Linked DNA regions of Mus musculus: all the other regions are reported to be linked to region 1. Evidence: microRNA targets listed by miRTarBase, many of them from high-throughput screens and not tested one by one. Region 1 holds a microRNA gene; each other region holds the end of a gene's coding sequence.
Evidence for each region. Region 1 holds the annotated microRNA mmu-miR-466p-5p (UAUGUGUGUGUACAUGUACAU, at 3,330-3,350, opposite strand). A microRNA usually pairs through its seed, bases 2 to 8, with sites in the 3' UTR of a target mRNA and lowers its output. Matches are read on the target gene's strand: a 7mer-m8 pairs with bases 2 to 8, a 7mer-A1 pairs with bases 2 to 7 and ends in A, and an 8mer does both.

Region 1 (5,074 bases):
GTGTGTGTGTATGTTATTTATATGCAAATACACACATCCACACACAACTATACACACATGCACATACATGGAGGCATCACATGAATGCCAGGCTGATCTCTAACTCATCATGCCGTTAACATGAATGTGCACTCCTGATCACCCTGAATCTAGCAAGTCTTCTCCTGGTGACTGAGACCTCTCTCTGTCAGCCCCAGTCATACAGAATCTCTAAGACTCTAAGTCACTAATTATTCAAATAGATGGATGAGTGCCAATTTTTGTGTGTTTGTATGCATGTTTGTATGGGTATGTGTGTATGTATATGTATATTCATATACACACATGTACATGCACACATACATATACACACAGGCATATATACTAGGGTCATCACAAGACTCCGAAGCTGATCACGAACTCATCATGAAGTTCAGCATGAATTTTGATTCCTGGTCATCCAAAGTCTGGCAAGCAAGCATTTTCACCTTGTGAGTGAGAGCACTCACTGGCCCAGCCCTGCATAATCTCTAAAGCTCTGAGTCACCTGTCATTCAAAAGGATCAATGAGTGACATTCCTCTGTGTGTGTGCGCGTGTGTGTGTGTGTGTGTGTGCGTGCCTGTGTGTTTATGTTTGTCTGTATGTAGATGTATATTTGTATACACACATGTACATATACACAAAACTATACACACATGCACATATATGGGGGGAGGATGCCATGAGGCCAGGCTGATCCCTAGGTCATTTTGAAGTTATTCAGGAATTTGAACTGCTGATCCAAAAGGCAAGCGTTTTACCTGGTAAGTTAACTGAGACATAGCTCTGGCCATTCCTGTGAGTGAGTGTGTGTGCATGCGTGTATATGCATATTCATATAGAGAAGTGTATGTGCACAAAGCTATACACACATGCACATTCTTTATGGTCATCACATGAATAGCATGCTGATCTCTAACTCATCATGAAGTTAAACATGAATTTGAACTCTTGATCCACCTGACTCTGTGGTGTGAGACCTCTCCCTATTGAGTACTGCAGAATCTCTAAAACTCTAAGTCACATATCATTCAAATGGACTGAGGAGTGGCATGCGTGTGTGTGTCTGTGTCTGTGGATGGGTCTATGTGTGTGTAGGTATGTATATTCATATACACAATCCACACACAGTTACACACATATACACATACATGGGGACATCACATGATTCCCAGGCAGATCTCTAAGTCATCATGAAATAAAGCATGAATTTGAACTCCTGACCTCCTGATTCTAACAAGCATTTTTAACATGATGGGTGATAACTCTCCCTGACCTAGTCACACATAATCTCCAAAGCTCACAGTCACATAGATCAATGAGTGAGTGCCATTCCTGTGTGCCTGTGTGCTCATATGTGTCTTATGTGTGCGTGTATGTATATGGATATCATATTCACATATGTACATGTACACACACATAAACACATATACACATACATAGGGGCAATCACATGAATGCCAGGATGACCTCTAACTCATCATGCCTTTACCATGAACTTGCACTCCTGATCTTCCCGACTCTACCAAGGGTTTTCCCGTGGTTTGTGAGACCTCACCCTGGCCCAGTCATACATAACCTCCAAAGCAGTAGGTCACATATCATTCAAATGGATCCGTGAGGGCCATTCCCGCATGTCTGTGTGCATGTGTGTGTAGGTGTGTGTATGTATATGCATAAAATATACACGCATATACATGCGCGCACTTATGCACACAGGCACATACATAGGGGCCATCACATTATTCCAGGATGATCTCTAACTGCTCATGAAGTTAAGCATGAAATTGAACTCCTGATCCTCCTGACAATGCCAATTGTTTACACCTTGTGAGTGAGACCATTCACTGTCCTTCTACTGCATAATCAGTAACATTCTAAGACATATATCATTCAAATGGATCGATGAATGCCATACCTTGGTGTGTGTGTGCTTGCTTTTATACGTGTGTGTGTGTGTGTGTGTGTTATGTATAATCATATACACACATGTACATGCACACAAAATTATGTGTGCATGTACATACCTAGGGTCCATCACACGAATCCAGGATGATCACTAACTGATCATTAAGTTAAGCATGATTCTGAACTCCAAGACTTCTGATTCTGGCAAGCGGTTTTCATCTAGTTGGCGAGATATTTCACTGTACCATAAATATACACTCTATGAAATTCTAAGCACATATAAAACTTATGGATGACTGCCATGTGTTTCTGTATGCATGCATGTGTGAATATGTGTCAATATATGTCTTTTCATATATCCGCATGTACAGACAAACTTATCTATACACATACACAGAAACAATCACATGAATAACAGGCTGATCTGTAACTCATCAGGAAGTTAAACATGAATTTGAACTCTGGGACCTCCTGACGCTGGCAAGAGCATCCACCTCCTAACTGAGACATAGCTCTGGCCCAGCACTGCATAAGCTCTAAAGCTCTGAGTCACATACCATTCCAAAGGATATATGAGTGCCATTCCTGTGTCTGCATGTGTGTATATGCATATTCACATAGAGAAGTGAATATGCACACAACTACACACACATGCACATTTTGGTGTGCATCAATGAAACACATGCTGATCTCTAATGCATCATGAAGTTAAACATAAACTTGAACACCATATTCTCCTGACTCTAGCAAGATTATTCACCTCCTACCTAAGAAATAACTCTGGCCATTCCTATGAATGTGTGTGCATGTGTGCATATGCATATTCATATAGAGAAATGAATATGCACACAACTATACACACATGCACATTCTTGGTGGGCATCACATGAATCCCGTGCTGATTTCCAACTCATCATGAAATTCAGCACAAATTTGAACTCCTGATCCACCTGACTCTGGCAAGGGATTTCACCTGCTGAGTGAGACCTCTCCCTATTCAGTACTGAGGAATCTTAAAACTCTAAGTCACATATCATTCAAATGGACTGAGGAGTGGCATTCATATGTGTGTCTGTGTATGGGTCTACGTGTGTGTAGGTATGTATATTCATGTACACAAATCCACACACAGTTACACACATATACACATACATGGGGGCATCACATGATTCCCAGGCAGATCTCTAAGTCATCATGAAATAAAGCATGAATTTGACCTCCTGACCTCCTGATTTAAACAAGCATTTTTAATATGATGGGTGATAACTCTCCCTGATCTAGTCATACATAATCTCCAAAGCTCACAGTCACATAGATCGATGAGTGAGTGCCATTCCTGTGTGTCTGTGTGCTCATATGTGTCTTATGTGTGCGTGTATGTATATATCATCATATTCACACATGTACATGTACACACACATAAACACATATACACATACATAGGGGCAATCACATGAATGCCAGGATGACCTCTAACTCATCATGCCTTTACCATGAACTTGCACTCCTGATCTTCCCGACTCTACCAAGGGTTTTCCCGTGGTTTGTGAGACCTCACTCTGGCCCAGTCATACATAACCTCCAAAGCAGTAGGTCACATATCATTCAAATGGATCCGTGAGGGCCATTCCCGCATGTCTGTGTGCATGTGTATATAGGTGTGTGTATGTATATGCATAAAATATACACACATATACATGCTCACACTTATGCACACAGGCACATACATAGGGACCATCACATTGCACCACTCTTTCATGAAGTTAAGCATGAAATTAAACACCTGATCCTCTTGACACTGTCAATTTTTTACACCTGTTGAGTGAGACCATTCAGTGTCCTTCTACTTCATAATCAATAAAATTCAATGACATATATCATTCAAATTGATCAATGAGAGTCATACTTATGTGTGTGAGTATTCAAGTCTGTATGTGTGCATGCATGTGTATGTATATGTATAATTATATGCATACATGTACATTCACACAAAGTTACACACACATGCACATACCTAGGGTCCATCACATAAATCCAGTACGATTTCTAACTCATCATGAAGTTAAACATGAATTTGAACTCCAGATCCTCCTGACTCTGGCAAATGGTTTGCATCTGATTAATGAGATGTTTCCTGTCCCATGAATATGCACTCTATAAAACTCTAAGCACATATAAATCAAATGGATGATTGCCATGTGTATTTGTGTACACATGTATGTGTCCATATATGTGTATATATATGCATATACATATACCCACATGTACAAGCACACTTACCTATAGACATATACACGTACACAGAGGCAAAAACATAAATTACAGCCTTATCTATAACTCATCATGAAGTTAAACATTAATTTGAACTTCATATCCTCCTGACTCTGGCAAGAGTATTCACCTCCTAACTGAGGCATAGCTCTGGACCAGTACTGCATAAGCTCTAAATCTCTGAGTCACATAACATTCAAAAAAATATATGAGTGACATTCGTGTATGTGCATGAGTATATATGCATATTCATGTATAAAAGTGAATATGCACACAACTATACTCACATGCACATATTTGGAGGACATCACACGAATCGCATGCTGATCTCTAACTCAATGTGAGTTAAACATGAATTTGAACTCGTCATCCTCCTGACTCTGGCAAGAGTGCTCACCTCCTAACTGAGACATAGCTCTGGCCATTCCTATGAATGTGTGTGCATGCGTGTATATGCATATTCATATACAGAAGTGAATATGCACACAACTATACACACTTGCACATTTTTGGTGGGCATAAGATGAATCCCATGCTAATCATGAACTCATCATGAAATTCAGCACGAATTTGAACTCCTGATCCAACTGACACTGTCAAGGGATTTCACCTGCTGAGTGAGACCTCTCCCCATTCAGTACTGAGGAATCTTAAAACTCTAAATCACATATCATTCAAATGGATCGATGAGTTGCACTGATGTTTGTGTGTGTGTTTCTGTTTGTGTCTGTGTACATGTATATATTTGTGTAGATAGGTACATCCATATACTCAAATCCACACACAATAGAAACAGATACAGATAGAGATACATAGGGGGCATCACATGAATCCCAGGCATATCTCTAAGTCATCATGAAGTAAAGCATGAATTA
Region 2 (5,000 bases), not on the chromosome of region 1:
TTTTCAGTTTCTGGGTATATTTTGCACTTTCAGTTTCTTAACATATTTTGCACTTCAGAGTGTGTGCATGCCCTGGCTGAGCCATCTTGCTGTCCCAGCTGTCAAACTTTGAGTAATGTGAACGGCCCTCCACCTGAGCGCAAGTGTGGCAAGCTTGTGTCTGGTGTCCATCTCCCTGTTCCCTCTGGCTGACTTCCCTCCCTGCTCAGTGACTCTCGCCCTCCATGGAGAAGTCACCCAGGCTGTGGGGTAGCACTGATCTCAGTCTTTGCCTTGCAGAGATGCTGAGGATGCGATCTATGGAAGAAACGGTTACGATTATGGCCAGTGTCGACTCCGTGTGGAGTTCCCCAGGACTTACGGAGGTCGGGGTGGGTGGCCCCGTGGTGCAAGGAACGGGCCTCCTACAAGACGGTCAGATTTCCGAGTTCTTGTTTCAGGTATGTTCTCACCACTTTGCTGAACGAGAGTCTAGCCTTCAAGGAAGTGTGTGGCTTAGTGTTGAGGACGTGGGACATGCTGGCTTCTCAGGAGCCAGTGCACCCGGGCAGCGGAAAGCTCTGCCCTGGTTAGTCAGGGAGGCAGACATTGTACGGATGAAACCGTGCAAGTAATGCAGCCTATGTGGGACGGAAACCTACTGCTCTTTTTGTTCTGAACCAGTCTCTGTGTAGTCTTAGAACTCACTCTGTAGACCAGGCTGTCCTCGAACTCACAGAGATCCCCCTGCCTCTGCCTCCTGAGCGCTGTGATTAAAGGCGTGTGCCACCATGGTCTGAGAAACACGTTTCTTAGAGTGCTTTCTTACTGGTGAGAGGCCAAGATGGTGGGAGAGCACTTGCTCCAGAGTTCTTTCCTCTGGGAATGTTCCTTCCTAGACATCACAGGAGCCAGCTGCACGCAATGTACAATCGTGGGCATGGCATTGGAAGGCATAGAGCTTTTATTTATAACTGGTGTCACCAGATGACGTGCCAAGTGCTCAGCTCAGCTGTGTCTTTAAAATATCAGTGCAGTGCCAAGACCCCGGGCAGGGCCCTCTGCACGTCACAGGGCAGTTGAGGGGCCCTTCTAGAGTGTGACAGTCCCACAATCATAGTCATGTGTACGAGTGATGGAATCTGTCTCCCTGTGTTCCTCTGTAGTTTTTAACCCTAGGACTCCACTCCCTCCTTCAAGATGTCATACATTATCTTTTTTTCTCTCCATGCTGCTCTGAACTCCTGCTTAGAAAACTATTAGGAAATGGCTGCAGTCCCGAGCTGTGCGCAGCAAACACAGCCTTTGAGAGCAGGAGCACATTTCCCTTTCATGACACCAGGTAGGGTCGTATGACTCCCAACTAGCTTTAGCGTCTGAGTGTCCCCTTCCCCACTGTAGTGAGGAGTGTTGTTCTCTTAAGGAGGTATTCTGTGCTCTGTCAGCCAGTCATGCTGTAAAGAAACAAACAAAACACGGACTCTTGTGCTGTTCCCTTGGCTGCACTTGGCTTTTTTCAAAACTCTCATGTCTTGGGAAAAATAAGTTCAGCAAGAAATACTTGGTACTAATAAGTTTCCTAATGGATAAAACCTGGAACTAGGTTTGGGGAGTGTCACATTGATTGTGAAGCACAGAGTGGTAAATTCTCAGAGGTTGAAAGCCTGTGATAGGCGGATTTGTTTGCTTAGTTGGGAGCTTTTTTGGTCTCTGGACAGTTAACTTAGACCAGCTTCTCACAGTGGCTTACCATATATACTTCAGTATATTTCTCTGGTTCTCTGCCCCATATGCTTTGTGACTTGGGAACCCTTAAGAATTAAGTGACCACAGAGCGTAGACCACCGTAGGCATAGCCAGCTCTCATAGGGCATTTAGCACGGCTGAGGTTGTGGTCTTCTCTTCCATTCTCTGCCTAGGACTTCCTCCATCAGGCAGCTGGCAGGACCTGAAAGATCACATGCGAGAAGCTGGGGATGTCTGTTATGCAGACGTACAGAAGGACGGAATGGGGATGGTTGAATATTTGAGAAAAGAGGACATGGAATATGCTCTGCGTAAACTGGATGACACCAAATTCCGCTCTCACGAGGTGGGTTCCTGCCTTCCATTAAGTCTAATTGACCAGCAATAATAGCGGGTCGTACTTTTTTCATTTGATGATGTCACTCTACCTTAAAGCCTGTCTAGAGTGAACAGAGCTACGGGGGTTGCTCTGCTTATAGCCTCCGTTTGAAACGGAGAGGACGGGTACCCACCTCCGTGTGACAGTGAACGTTGAGGGAGGTGACAATGCCAGGCACACAGTGAGTGCCAGGGCTGGGCTTTGCTCGTGCCTCTGGGTCTTCACTCTTCCCTTCTGTTTGTTTGGATTTCAGGGTGAGACTTCCTACATCCGAGTGTATCCTGAGAGAAGCACCAGCTATGGCTACTCACGGTCGCGGTCTGGGTCCAGGGGCCGCGACTCGCCATACCAAAGCCGGGGCTCGCCACACTACTTCTCTCCTTTCAGGCCCTACTGAGGGGGTGGGAAGGAAGGGTCTCTTCAGTTTTTTAGATGAGCTGGGCTACTTTGTGCTCAGAGTCTACATTCCAGATTGATTAGAGTCTTAGGACATTTTTTTTCTTTTCTTTCCTTTTATTTTTATTTTATTTTATTTTTTTTATTTTAAGGAACTACATAATTTCGGCTAGAGCCACCATACTAGCAGTGACCTGTTAGGCTGCAGAGAGAAGGTGTGTCTGTGGTTCAGGAACAAGCTGTACATTTTTCACCCTGACTATGGGACGGAAATCAGTGCTGCATCTTCATGGGCTGCTCTGCTCGGAGATGGGGCCCGAGGGGCCCGTTTTGTTCAGAAATATATTTTAAATGTTTAGTAATTGGCGTGCAGTTGTCTTTGATTGAGTATGTAGGTTTCATCTGATAGGTACTGACCAAAGAGAACCATCATTTGAGTTGTCATGGAAGTTTGTAAGGAACAGAAACTTCATCACTCTGCCAGAGTAATGGTGGCGATTGTAAAAAATCAGCACCAAAGGCAGACTCTGTTTTTTTTATTTTAAAGGTTGGTTTTTATTTACATGTTTATGCCGCGTGTGTGTTAGTGCCTACAGAGGCCAGAAAGACAGCATCAACCCCTGTGGAGCTGGAATTGCAGGAGGTCATGGGTCACCTTGAGTTGAGGTGGGCACCAGAGCCCGACTCAGCTCAGGATGAAGAACAGGAGGGTTTGTTTCTTTGGTTTGATGTTTTTCTTTCTTTCCATTTTCTTTTCCAGAGAGGGTTTCTCAGAATAATTCTGGCTCTGTAGACCAGGCTAGCCTTGAACTCAGGGATCTGTTGGCTTTTGCCTCCCAAGTGTTGGAATGAAATGAAAGACACGGAGCCACCATACCTGGGATAGGAAGGTCTCTGAATGACTGAGGGATCTCTGACCCAGACTCGGAGTTCTTACAATTCAGATCTGGCATTGTAAACTGAACTCTCCATAATAGGAGTTCACTGAGGTGGCTCAGGCCTCCAACCCCTGTGCTTGGGAGGCTGTAGCAGGAAGATAGCTGTGTGCTCAAGGCCAGCCTGATGTACAGAGAGGCCTATCTGAGCAACAAGAAAAGGGTGTGTGTGTGGGACACAGACATTGCAGATAAAGGGAAGAGAAAGAATGAAGACGGGCCTAGGGCTATTTTTAACAAGTTCTCTTTTCAGAAAGGAACTATTTGGCTGGTGTTCATATTGCATGGTATGTGTGTGGGGGTTGGGTGTTCACGTATACTGTGTGTGTGTGTGTGTGTGTGTGTGTGTGTATGTGTGTATGTTGTTCATGGACTGAGTGCAAGGTGGAGGTTGGATGGCCTTCTGAGAAAGAAAGATGGTTCTGAATTAGGAGTTCCCGGCTGTAGTTTACTTTGATACTACTCAAACATATCCATAAAACGAGCCCTCTGGTAGGCATAAGGTAGGTACCCAGAAACAGATGGTGATGTGCTGGCTCTGAAGCCAGTGGGAAAGCAACTAAAAAGAACTGATTTGTCTCTTCATCTCAGGTCATCTGTCTCTTACACCTAAACAGAAAAGTCCACATAGATATTTTGACAAGGTAGTGTTTTTTAGGGGCAGAGGAGGGAGGAAGTTGTTTTTCAGACAGAATGAGTCTGAGTATTTGATCCATTTCCTTGGAAGCAGGCTTGTGGTTTTCTGCTAGCTGGGTGTTGTCCAGTTGTCTTCGGATCAATTACCAAGAAACTGTAAATCCAGTTTATACTAGATAGAGTTCACAGTAGCAAATGACCACCCTTGTGAGTCCACCATGTTGACAGGGTGCCCCTTCCCCAGAATAGCTACTCTGCTGTGGAAGAAGGAATCTTGTTTACCATGTCTGGCAAGGAAATATTACCTGTTTGAAAAATAAGAAGAACATTAGAGTTGAGCCTGATGTCCAGCTGGCTCTCCTAAACTAACTGGTCACTTGGATTTCACGGAGAACTGGAAGTAAGTATTGGTGCCGTCCTTCTTCCTAACTCTCAAGCATCAGTTAACGGTTCAGAGTGAAGCCAGATCCCTGCTGTTCAGTGCAAGGAACAGATGCAGGTAAGAGTGAAAGACAGACTAAACCTCTGTCAGGAGCAAGGTCCTGTCTGCAGTGTGATCCGTTGGTACACATGATGAAGTAGGAGGAACTACTGGCCCTGCCATGGCAGGGTTGTAAGGATCTTTAGCCAGCCAAGGCAGACAGCATGGTTAGCATAGAGTTCCGTCCTCCCGCTCACAGGGTTTATTGCTGACTGCTGGCAGCTCTGAGAACTCATGCACAGGAGACAAGAAGTTCTAAACTGTGTACAGTGAGCCTGGAAATGCAAGTTGCTATATCAGGGATTACAAACCATGGCTGGCTGGCATACTTACAGGTATGTTTCTGCTGGCCTGTGTGGCACTGTTAAGTCTTATTTGAATTGATTGCCAATAAAGTTGAGGAAATGCCAGACAGATGTCATATACTTAATTTCCCAAGCAAATAGGC
Region 3 (5,000 bases), not on the chromosome of region 1:
ATTCTTAAATTTCATCCTCTAGGTAGGTAGTCCTTGGGCCTTCCTTTGCTCTTTCTTAGTTTCGGTCACAGAGCTAGAGACAGATCCATGGCCTCATACATGTTAATGAAGTGCTCCATCACAGGGCTGTTCACTCAGCCCACTGTTCCTTATCAATCCTGTCACGATTTTTATAGCACCCACACGGATGAGGTGTATGATTTCTCTCAAATACCTGTGCTTCTCTACCAATTATCTGAGATGCCATGGCTTGTTTAAGGTATTACCACCCCACCACCAGCCTTTGCCCATATGCATTCCTTGATCCAGAAAGTTCTAGTCTAATTATAGCTTTAAAATTTCGGTCAGAGACAGACAGTTAAAACACAAAACTAGATTTTTAACTTAGTAGGTCATGGTGTTTCTAATTACTTCTGAGAACATAGCTACTTTGCCCGTTTATGAAACATGACTTGTGATTTCTTTCAAACTTTAACTATAAAGATGTTGTTACTAAAGACAACCATCTTATATACAATCACATAAGCATACAGAAATTTATTTAGTGTAACTAAATGTCCCTCCAGGTAACCATACTAAAAGTGGATCAATGTGATGCCATTTTTTTCTGTAGTTTTTAATTTGATTTAGTTAACTTTAACTTTGAGTTATGTGTACTACTGTGACAATTTTTTTCAGTCAAACTTCTAATAACACTTTTCTGTTTTAAGATCAAAGCCATTGGCCAAACAGAATTGAATGCAAGCAACCCTGAAGAAGTATTACAGCTGGCAGCACAGAGAAGGAAAAAGAAGTTTCTACAAGCAATGGCAAAACTTTACTTTTAAGCAGTTAGTTAATTTTTTTTCAATTTTATTTTTTAAACAGTGGGCTAAAAGTAAACAGTATTAAAAGATTAAGTTTATATAATACATATGTACAATTTAGTGGTGTTTTCTTTTTAGACCAAAACAAACTGAAACAAATTAGTTTATAAACAAATTATACAAAAACTTCATATCTTAACAATAGTTTATAATTTCTTCAAAGAGAGACAAGGTTCATGCCTGGTACCATTTTTTTTCTAATGAAATTAACTTTTTTAGGCCCAAATTTCCTTTTCAAAGGCTAACTTAAAATATTTAATGTATAAGTAGCTATTCTATATACAGCAAGTTTAAATAAATAAATTTCTAGGAGTAAGTATACATTTAATATTTTCTGCCATAAGAAAATAGTTTAGGTCATATGTTAAAGTTTTTTCATGTTGACACAGTCCTCATCTCATAATATGGGGCTTAAAAATGGACCACCAGTTTTGCAAACATAAAGCGCCTTAGAGATATCTTAGTGTGCAATAAAGTGACTTTCTTATATAGTTTGAAAAAGTGTTTAATTTTACCCAAATTGTGATACACAAAAAGATTATAAAGCAACCTTTCTATCAAGTAAAACCCCCGAGTAGAAGAAGCCAAAGCATTTATATCTTGTTTATAATTTCTTTGGTTCTCCCATTTAGAGCACAGTTTAAACATTTGGTTCAGTGCCTTACTGATTAAGAAATATGGCAAGGCAGACAAACTAGTTCAAAACAGATTGAACTTTACCATTCATAAAATTCAAGTTTTATCGTTTGTTACAAACTGCTTTAGATAAATTAGTCACTTTATTACAAAACAACCTTTGTAAATAAGCTTAAAATTTATTTTCAAAAACAAATTGCACCATTCAAGAGTATAGGAATTTAAGAATATAAAATCTAGATTCAAAGTTCTGTGTCAGCTAATGTATCCTTTAAGGTAGCACTAGTTTAGTCCATATTCCAATGATAAAATTCCTAGTTCATCAAAAGAAATACAGTAACACTGAATTTTAAAGAAACACAGTAACAAACAGAAACAACTGCTATAGCTTAAATTGTTGGCTTCCATCCACTATCCTTGGGAGTGAAGTCACCTTTGTAAACAAGTTCTCTTTTATAGGAAATACTTCTTTAGTGCCAATTTTTTGAAGTTTTTGTTTTGTTTCCTTTTGTAGTGCTGGGGATTGAACCCAGGATTTTGTGCATCCTAGGCATTTAGTGCCAAATTGATATAGTTTTTAAGTAAAAGAATGGCAGTGTAACTCCTTAGACAAGGATAGTTACAGCACTACTTTTCTGTAAAACTCATTTATATGAAACTATCCATTATTTGTTCAATTCCAGGTTGTTAACTTCAGTGTTTTCCTGGTGGTTTTTCAGTACTCTTTGGTGGTGTCATAATGCCTCCATTACACACTGGTGACAGCTGCCCTCCTTTTCTGTAGATGTTCACATAGTTTACTTCATTCTGTACATGTGAAGAAATTATTCAGTAATTAACAGTTAAGATAAACTAAGTATGTAGTAATACCAGACCTCTACCAATTTTTTCTATCCAAACTTAATTTTAGAGTCTCTATCTTTGTTGGGGGCTGGGGGGTGGTACATACCTTTAATCTTAGCACTTGAGAGGCAGAGGGATCCCCGAGTTAGAGATCAGCCTTGTTTATTTCAACAAAACTTTCTAATTTCTTATCTGGGCTGCTGGTCTTGATTTTAAGCTGCTTAACAGTAATATTTTTCTTGAGATAGGGTCTTACTATGTGGCCTGGGAACTTATGATCCTCCTGCCTCAGCCTCCCTAGTACTAGTTAGTGTGCATCCTAGGCCCTTATCATCAAGTCTGCCTTAATTTAGTTATCTCCCTTATATTTTAAGTCAACATGGTCATTACTTTCCCATTTATCATCTTAAATAACTGTCTTAAGTAGTAATGCACAGTAGTTTCAGACCTTAGATAAACTTTGCTAACTTCTACCCCATTAGTTTCAGGACTTAACTAAATAGCACGATTTTTAAAAACAATGAAAGATAAGGCAGCAAAAAAAAAAAAAAAAAAAAAAAAAAACAACCTCCCATAAAACACATAAAACAAAAAACCATACCAGCAAAGCCAAATAATTTGTGTGTGTCTGGATATTGTGTCTATCTTCCATGGGTATCTTCTTAAAAGTCTTCAGCTTCACTGGACTCACACTTTTTACAACACTAACAAAAGGCACCATCCAGTCTACACATTCCGAGATGTCATCCCATTCCAAACCTAGATTTAAAAAGTTAATACAATGTTAATCAAACTGTTCCTTACATGACGTTAAAGCTGAAAAGAATTAATAGTTTTCTCAAGGGTCATTCTGTAGCACAGGTTGGCTTCCCTCTTGATTTGGCCTCAGTGCTGGGATTATAGGATTTGCTACTCATCTGACTCTCTTGAGGGTAGGTGTTTTTTGTTCTTGTTTTTTGCTTAAAGATTTATATTTATGTGAATGTGTATACATGTACACAAGTGCCCAGAGATCAGAAGAGTGTTAGATATTCTGGAGCTAGAACAAGATATGAGGGCTAGGAAACAAACCTGGGTCTTCTCCAAGAACAGTATGTGCTTTAAACCACTGATCCATTTTTCCAGGCTCACTTCTAAGCTTTTAAACCAGTTTCTATTCATACAAATTAAAATTGTGGTATTTGATTTCCACTTGGCTGGGAATTTATTTTCTTTTATGACTATGGAAATACACTAAGGGTTAAGTACTTTTAGCAAAATAAAAATCAACTAAATTGTTTTATTTTGTGTTTGGTAAGGTATTAAGGTATCTGTAGTTCCATTAAAAGTTGTGAACAGCCGGGTGTGGCGGCGCACGCCTTTAATCCCAGCACTCGGGAGGCAGAGGCAGGTGAATTTCTGAGTTTGAGGCCAGCCTGGTCTACAGAGTGAGTTCCAGGACAGCAGGGCTACACAGAGAAATCCTGTCTCAAAAAACCAAAAACCAAAAAAAAAAGTTGTGAACAGGTACAAAGTCAACAAAATAGTCTTACCTGAAGCTTTCTTAACCACTTCAATGGAGGTAAAATGACATAAGGCGGCAGCAGCCAGAATTCTGTATTGAAATTCTAAAGAGTCGATGGCTAGAATGCACAGATCTAAAAGCTAACAAGGAAAAAAAAAAAGGTAATTTAAGAGAAACATAAATGAGTCCCTATTTTATATATAACTATAAAGTAAATAAGCTACCATCCAGACTCAGAATTGCAGGAAAGGGAGTAAGTTCTAGGAGCACAGTGATAATGTTAGAAGGGTGAGCACTTCATCTAGATTGGAAAAAGCTTGTGAGGGCTTTTGAATTAGGTAACGGGCTAGGCCAGAAAATTGGTGAGAGAGAATGTTTGAAACAGAACGTTGCCAAAGGTAATAATTCTCATGAAATAATAAGCAAGGAAAACCTTTGTTCCTTATCCAAGGTGGGCAGTGGAAAGCAAGGAAATCTAGTAGCTTTGTTACATCATACAGGACCTTTACAAGTTGGAGCACTACTACTTAAGCCCACTGTGGGATTTTAAATCAGCAGTTTCATTTTTAAAAGGACGCAGTAAACTAGACAGACTAGGATGCAACATTTTATTTTATTTTATTTTGGTTTTTCGAGACAGGGTTTCTCTGTGTAGCCCTAGCTGTCCTGGAACTCACTCTGTAGACCAGGCTGGCCTCGAACTCAGAAATCCACCTGCCTCTGCCTCTGCCTCTGCCTCCTGAGTGCTGGGATTAAAGTCATGCGCCACCACGCCCGGCTTAGAATGCAACATTCTTAGCAACTAGCTAGGTAAGTGGTGTATTATCTTGGTAATGCAGGAAGAGTAGTAGTTGCACAGCCAGATTTCAGAAGGTTAAGCTGATTTCCTGTCCATTGAATAAAACTTAGTATTTGTACTCACACATCAGGTAAGAAGGTGGTAGAAACTGGAGGAGTTGCAAGTGAAATACTACCACAGATTATTATCTAAGTAATACTTGAGACCAGTATTTTCAAATCTGGATGTTTGGAATCTTAAAGTATTTACAAGTATGTGAGATCTCTTGGGAGCTGAAACTCATGTCAGAACTCAATTCACAAACAAATATCCTCAATTTTATAGAATATTTTTAATGTGCCTGTTTTCTTTG
Region 4 (5,000 bases), not on the chromosome of region 1:
CAGGGTTAACTGGATAGCAGAAATGCAAAAAGACCAAATGGAGCATCCAAGATTCAAAGTTAATACGAAAATCCCTCAGGGACCATCATCTCCTCCTGCACTTGTAATGCACTCTCCTCTTCAGAAGATGACTGTAAAGAAACAGCAGAAGTGGAAAATCCCTCCTTGTATTTCCAAGTGGAAGAACTCTAAGGGGTATACCATTCCATTAGATAAATGGCTAGCTGCTGATGGAAGAGGACTTCAGATGGTCCATATAAGTGAAAAATTTGCCAAACTGGCTGAAACACTATACATTGCTGATCAGAAGGCTTGAGCAGCAGTGGAAATGCAAGCCCAAGTAGAAAGTAAGATGACTCAAAAAGAAAAGAAGCATGAAGAGAAACTTAGAGCAGTGGCCCAGGAAGCCAGAGACAGGAATGCTGGGCTCACAACCCATGTGGAAAGAGAGGATGGAGAGGCCCGTGAAAGGGATGAAATCCATCATGACAGATGAAAAGAGGCAGGCAGCATGACCGGATCCTTTCCAGGGCAGCTCCTGATAAGAGGTGGAAACCACAGAGAAATGAGAATCAAACGGTGAAGCCACTGCTCTAGGTGTGCCTAATCCTTCAACTTCCATTTAGTCTTAATAAGCTTATGCTATTAAGAATAATATTCCTGGAAAAGAAATACATAGGAATTAGCCCGATGGAGATTTTTAAAGTACTTTAAAAATACTTAGAAGTATTTTGATTAACATTAGTATTTTATGCTATTGAGGCTTATTAACAAAGTTTTAAATAATTTTTCCTTTAAAGTCCATTTCATCTTATCATTAAAAAAGTTCAGTATGGTTCTAGTTTAAAATCTTTATGTTATTAATGTAGAATGACAATTTCAAAGAGAAATAAACTTGCTAAAAATAAAATTAAAAGTTTGCTTGCCATATACAATGGTGTGTTTAAATACTTAAAAGTATGATCTAAATGCTCAGACTGTTATTAGAAGCAAATATTTCCTTTCATTCGTGTGTCAGAAGACTCTGCTTTAAGGGTCTGCCAGCACTGTCAGTTCAAACTGTGAAGAGTGCAGCTCCTGTAGTTACTTGTGTGTTCACTGCACAAAACCATGCTACCTACAATGTTATGCACATCTTACGATCCTTTTCTCAAAAATAACGGCAACATCCTCATCCCAACACTGTGGAGCTTGGAACACTTTTGAAATTGAACACCAATCAATCATTAAGTAATGGAAAAAAACAAGATTAGCTATAGGTAACAGAATGCAGAGTATAATTAGGTAGGCTAAATTTCATTTTTTAAAAAGCAACTTTGTTAATTTCTAAAAAGCTGGGAGACATGTAGCCAGGCAGTGGCCCTCACTCATGCTTGGTGTCCATCTCATTTCCTGATCAAAGCCACTTTAATGAGAAATAGGTACCAGTCCTCAGCAGGGGCCAGGATCCCTCAGGGGAGAGGGCAGAAGATGCCTGGGATCCAGCCCACACTACAGAGGCTAGGCAGAAGGAAGGAGGCAGCCACCTACTAGCACCCCAGCCCTGCAGGGTCATCTCAGCACCCAGGCCTCTCCCCGTGGCTGGGGCAGCCCTCCCCCCCCTCCCCCCAGGTGCATCTGCCCTCAGTTCTTTCTGTGTGATCTATTTTTTAAGAAGAGTTTGTGTTATTTTTTCATAATGGCTGTAGCAGCAGCTGCTGGTTTTGTTTTAGGTGGATGGGGCTGGGAGGGCCATTTCTTCGCTCTGCTTCAGTTGAACATCTAGGACGTATTAAAACAGTGAAGCTTTTCCAGGGCATTTTGAATATGGAAGAGAATCTGAGCAGACGCCCGCAGGACTAAGACTGAAGAGGCAAGGTCTACTTGCCTTGGCTCAGTGACCGTGACAGGAATGAACCCAAACTCAGAACAAGAAAATCAATTCTGTGCCTCCCCCAAAATAAAAAAGTTGTGGGAGATCTTGGCGGATAGTATAACAGAATGACATCTGTACTAACATTTAGGAAGAAGCTGACAGGAGCCTTCTTCAAGCAGAGAGCTGACTACAGCTGATGTGCAGAATTGCATACAGTTTAATAGTGATACAAGTTAAATCACTGAAACGGACTGATCCACTCAGAATGCGTCCTAGGCACTGGAACACATTTTGGTCTGACCCATGGACATGAACACAACTGGGGGAGTTCCTATGAAACATGACTTAAAAAGAATTAGAAAATTCTTACCTCTGGCCTAAATTTTTATCCAAATATCACTATTTTGTTACCATGCAAAGCACCAACCAAATAAAAGTGCCTCCTGATGACTACTCTTACTATAAAACACAGTTCATCTGAAGCAAGCATGACGTCTTCCATCAAGAAAAGATTCATGAAACTGAAAACCTGGGGTGGGGGTGTGGCTCTGTGGTAGTTTAGTAACTGATCACTGCGAAAATCAACAAACAAAAACAAAATAAAATCAATAGCAACAACAACAACAAAACAAGAAGCCTTACCAATATCAAAAAAAGTTTTAAAAGCAAGACTTGTCACCACTAATCACGGTCTAACCACAGCAGTTCACAGTTTTAACAGAGGAAACACTACTTACTATGAAGGCATTCCCTTTAGTAAGCCCAAAACAGACTTTTAGCCAAATGCACTCCATAAATTGATAATTATTAACTGTATGTTTGGGTAACAGAAGACTTTGAAGAGTAGTAAATAACCATTAGTCTCATTTGGCAAATGGAGAAAAAGAATATGATCCTATATATATCGTTATCTTGTTCCTACAGAAAACAGTGTACTTACAGAGTGTGAAACGGAGCTATAAGCTGAAAACTAAAACTTCTAATTCAGAACAAAGAGAAACTACTTGTGAAATTAGTGGTTAACCTTTTGAAAATCTCTAAATGTATGACTATGTAAAATACTAATCAATATATTTAACCTGTATACATATGTGTGTGTATATATACACACACACACACACACACCTTTTCATGTAGAATGAATGAAAATAAAATCTGTAAACACAGTTTAAAGTCCTAGTAAAGAAAGTTTTGACAGAATCACCCTCAGTACACGCTAACTCTGTCCTGCACTATATGAGGTGTTCAGTTCCTTTTCAGTCTTTCATGGAATTAGACCTTTTACTCATTTGAAAAGTAAAAGTATTTACAATTATTAGTGCAAATTATTCTACACTCAAATTAGTTATTTGCCTTTATGGATAAAAAGTGGCAATTCAATACATTATCAAAATGTGGGATTATGAAAATACTGGGGTTATCAGTCTGAAATTCAAAAGATTGTTTTCTAAACTAAACTGCACATTTTTATTTAAGCAATAAACATAATTGTTATAGAACATCTTTTGAAATGTCACTCATTGTCATTTAAAAATTATTTCACAATACAGAAAATACAATGTATCAGTCTACAACACTCCCTTTACATGTCAATTCTAATATAAAATGTTTGAACAACAACAATCTCAATAAATTCTGAAGTCTTACTCTCTAACCTTTCCTGTTCTGCAGCAATAAGTAAAGTCCCAACCTGAGAACTGAGAAGATGGTAACAAAATACCAAGTGCCACACAAACACCAACAGACACTTGAGGTCTCCCACTGCCATGATCTAGTACATCAGAGAAATGGAGCAAGCCACAAAACATCCTGAAGTCAACAGCACCACCTGCCCCGTCCTTGTGATTTTGTGCAAATTCTATTGCACACTCAATATTGTTACAACACTTGCACACTTATAGAATTCTCCACATAAAGGATGTTAAGCTCACTCAATTGAGCCCTCCCTCACTACCAATAAAACATTCCTAATGAAAGGGAGAGTATACACAGGAATGTCAGAATCCAAGAATAAATCATTCCTTATGGAGACAGCCAATTACAGTGCAAGATAAAATGTTCACAATTTAAAGGAAAAATATCTTGAAGACCTGTAATTCCTCAGCAATCTACTACAGAAAAGTAAGCAGGTCTTGTTTAGGAAAGCAGAGTTGGATGACAATGCATAGTATTTTATTTTTACGGGGAAATGTTCGCTATAACCGGTTATCAAGTTCAGTCTTTTTAAATGAAGCTGAAGCACACTACTGTAAAGCTTATCTCTTCCATGATCTTCAGCATGGATACGCTGTGCCACATCCCAGGGAAATGAGAACTCAAAAAGCAGCAACAAGTTTATGCTTCCGACTCTCTTTTTTTCCCTTCTTCTCCCAAATCACTCTCCTCTGATTGGCTACTGCTAAGAACAAGCTGGCCCTCACTACCAGCCTGGTTTGGTCTACTGGAGGCAGCTATCAACCGACTCTGTTCTTCCAAGTCCTGGTGGAAAGATAAAGAAAGAAACTAAATTTAACTGTCAGCAGTCAGATAAAAAACTATGCAGTTTCCGATGGAGCTCTACTATACATGAGAGCTGTTCCAATCTTGTCACATGCACTCATTCTGATAACCTAATGAAAAGAAAGGCTAGATGCAACAAATGAAAACACCAGCATGAATTTTGGCACCATTTGAATAATCCCAAAAAGCAAACATGCAAAAAAAATAATTAAGAAAGAGCAAAGCCCCCCTCCTTTTGTGGCTAATAACTGAGTTCTGACTGTCTTCTCTCATACACCACTCTGCACCCACTATACACTCTTCAGGTCTTCTCTACTCCTGCCCTGTTTATCTTGCTAAATCAAGTGTCACTTCCCCTCTCCTAAGCTGCCCTTCTTTCTGTGCTGTCTTTGCCATTTTCTCTTCTCAGCCCTGTACCCAGCTCACTTCCAGTTCCTGTGTTCTCTTCACATCCATGTTCCCCAGTTACCTTCTCTCTTCTTTCTTACCATCGATGCCACGCCCTTGAATGACTCTTTCATAGGTTTGATCCTTAGGACCAAAACCTCCTTTAAAAGTGTGTTATACATTTGGTCTCTAATACTTTGTATAATCTCATAATCACAGTTCTATGTCATGTGAGTATTTTATATTTTAGACTTTTTAC

Region 2: miRTarBase lists Gatc as a target of mmu-miR-466p-5p. Seed matches in the 3' UTR shown: 8mer at 3,786-3,793 and 8mer at 3,724-3,731.
Region 3: miRTarBase lists Ints8 as a target of mmu-miR-466p-5p. The part of its 3' UTR that is shown has no 7-base or 8-base seed match.
Region 4: miRTarBase lists Appl1 as a target of mmu-miR-466p-5p. Seed matches in the 3' UTR shown: 8mer at 2,944-2,951.

Annotation. Positions count from the first base shown.
Region 1 is chr2:10,504,296-10,509,369 of GRCm38, reverse strand. Mir466p (microRNA 466p) reads right to left here and starts at 3,364; the gene lies at 3,276-3,364. All of the region lies in intron 10 of Sfmbt2 (Scm-like with four mbt domains 2), which reads right to left. It overlaps Mir467e (microRNA 467e), which reads right to left and starts at 3,649; the gene lies at 3,563-3,649. It overlaps Mir467d (microRNA 467d), which reads right to left and starts at 1,740; the gene lies at 1,656-1,740. It also overlaps Mir466, Mir297c and Mir669c.
Region 2 is chr5:115,330,219-115,335,218 of GRCm38, forward strand. It overlaps Gatc (glutamyl-tRNA(Gln) amidotransferase, subunit C), which reads right to left. Exons shown (of 3, transcript NM_029645.3): 3 at 3,024-4,376. The coding sequence ends at 4,321. It overlaps Srsf9 (serine and arginine-rich splicing factor 9), which reads left to right. Exons shown (of 4, transcript NM_025573.3): 2 at 280-440; 3 at 1,899-2,071; 4 at 2,358-2,862. The coding sequence ends at 2,501. Among named protein-coding and RNA genes, the nearest start is that of Srsf9, 5.5 kb to the left of the region's middle.
Region 3 is chr4:11,200,294-11,205,293 of GRCm38, reverse strand. It overlaps Ints8 (integrator complex subunit 8), which reads left to right. Exons shown (of 27, transcript NM_001159595.1): 27 at 711-2,366. The coding sequence ends at 827. It overlaps Ccne2 (cyclin E2), which reads right to left. Exons shown (of 12, transcript NM_001282943.1): 10 at 3,878-3,989; 11 at 2,947-3,104; 12 at 515-2,309. The coding sequence ends at 2,196. Among named protein-coding and RNA genes, the nearest start is that of Ccne2, 11 kb to the right of the region's middle.
Region 4 is chr14:26,919,539-26,924,538 of GRCm38, forward strand. It overlaps Appl1 (adaptor protein, phosphotyrosine interaction, PH domain and leucine zipper containing 1), which reads right to left. Exons shown (of 22, transcript NM_145221.2): 22 at 1-4,333. The coding sequence ends at 4,190. Among named protein-coding and RNA genes, the nearest start is that of Asb14, 27 kb to the left of the region's middle.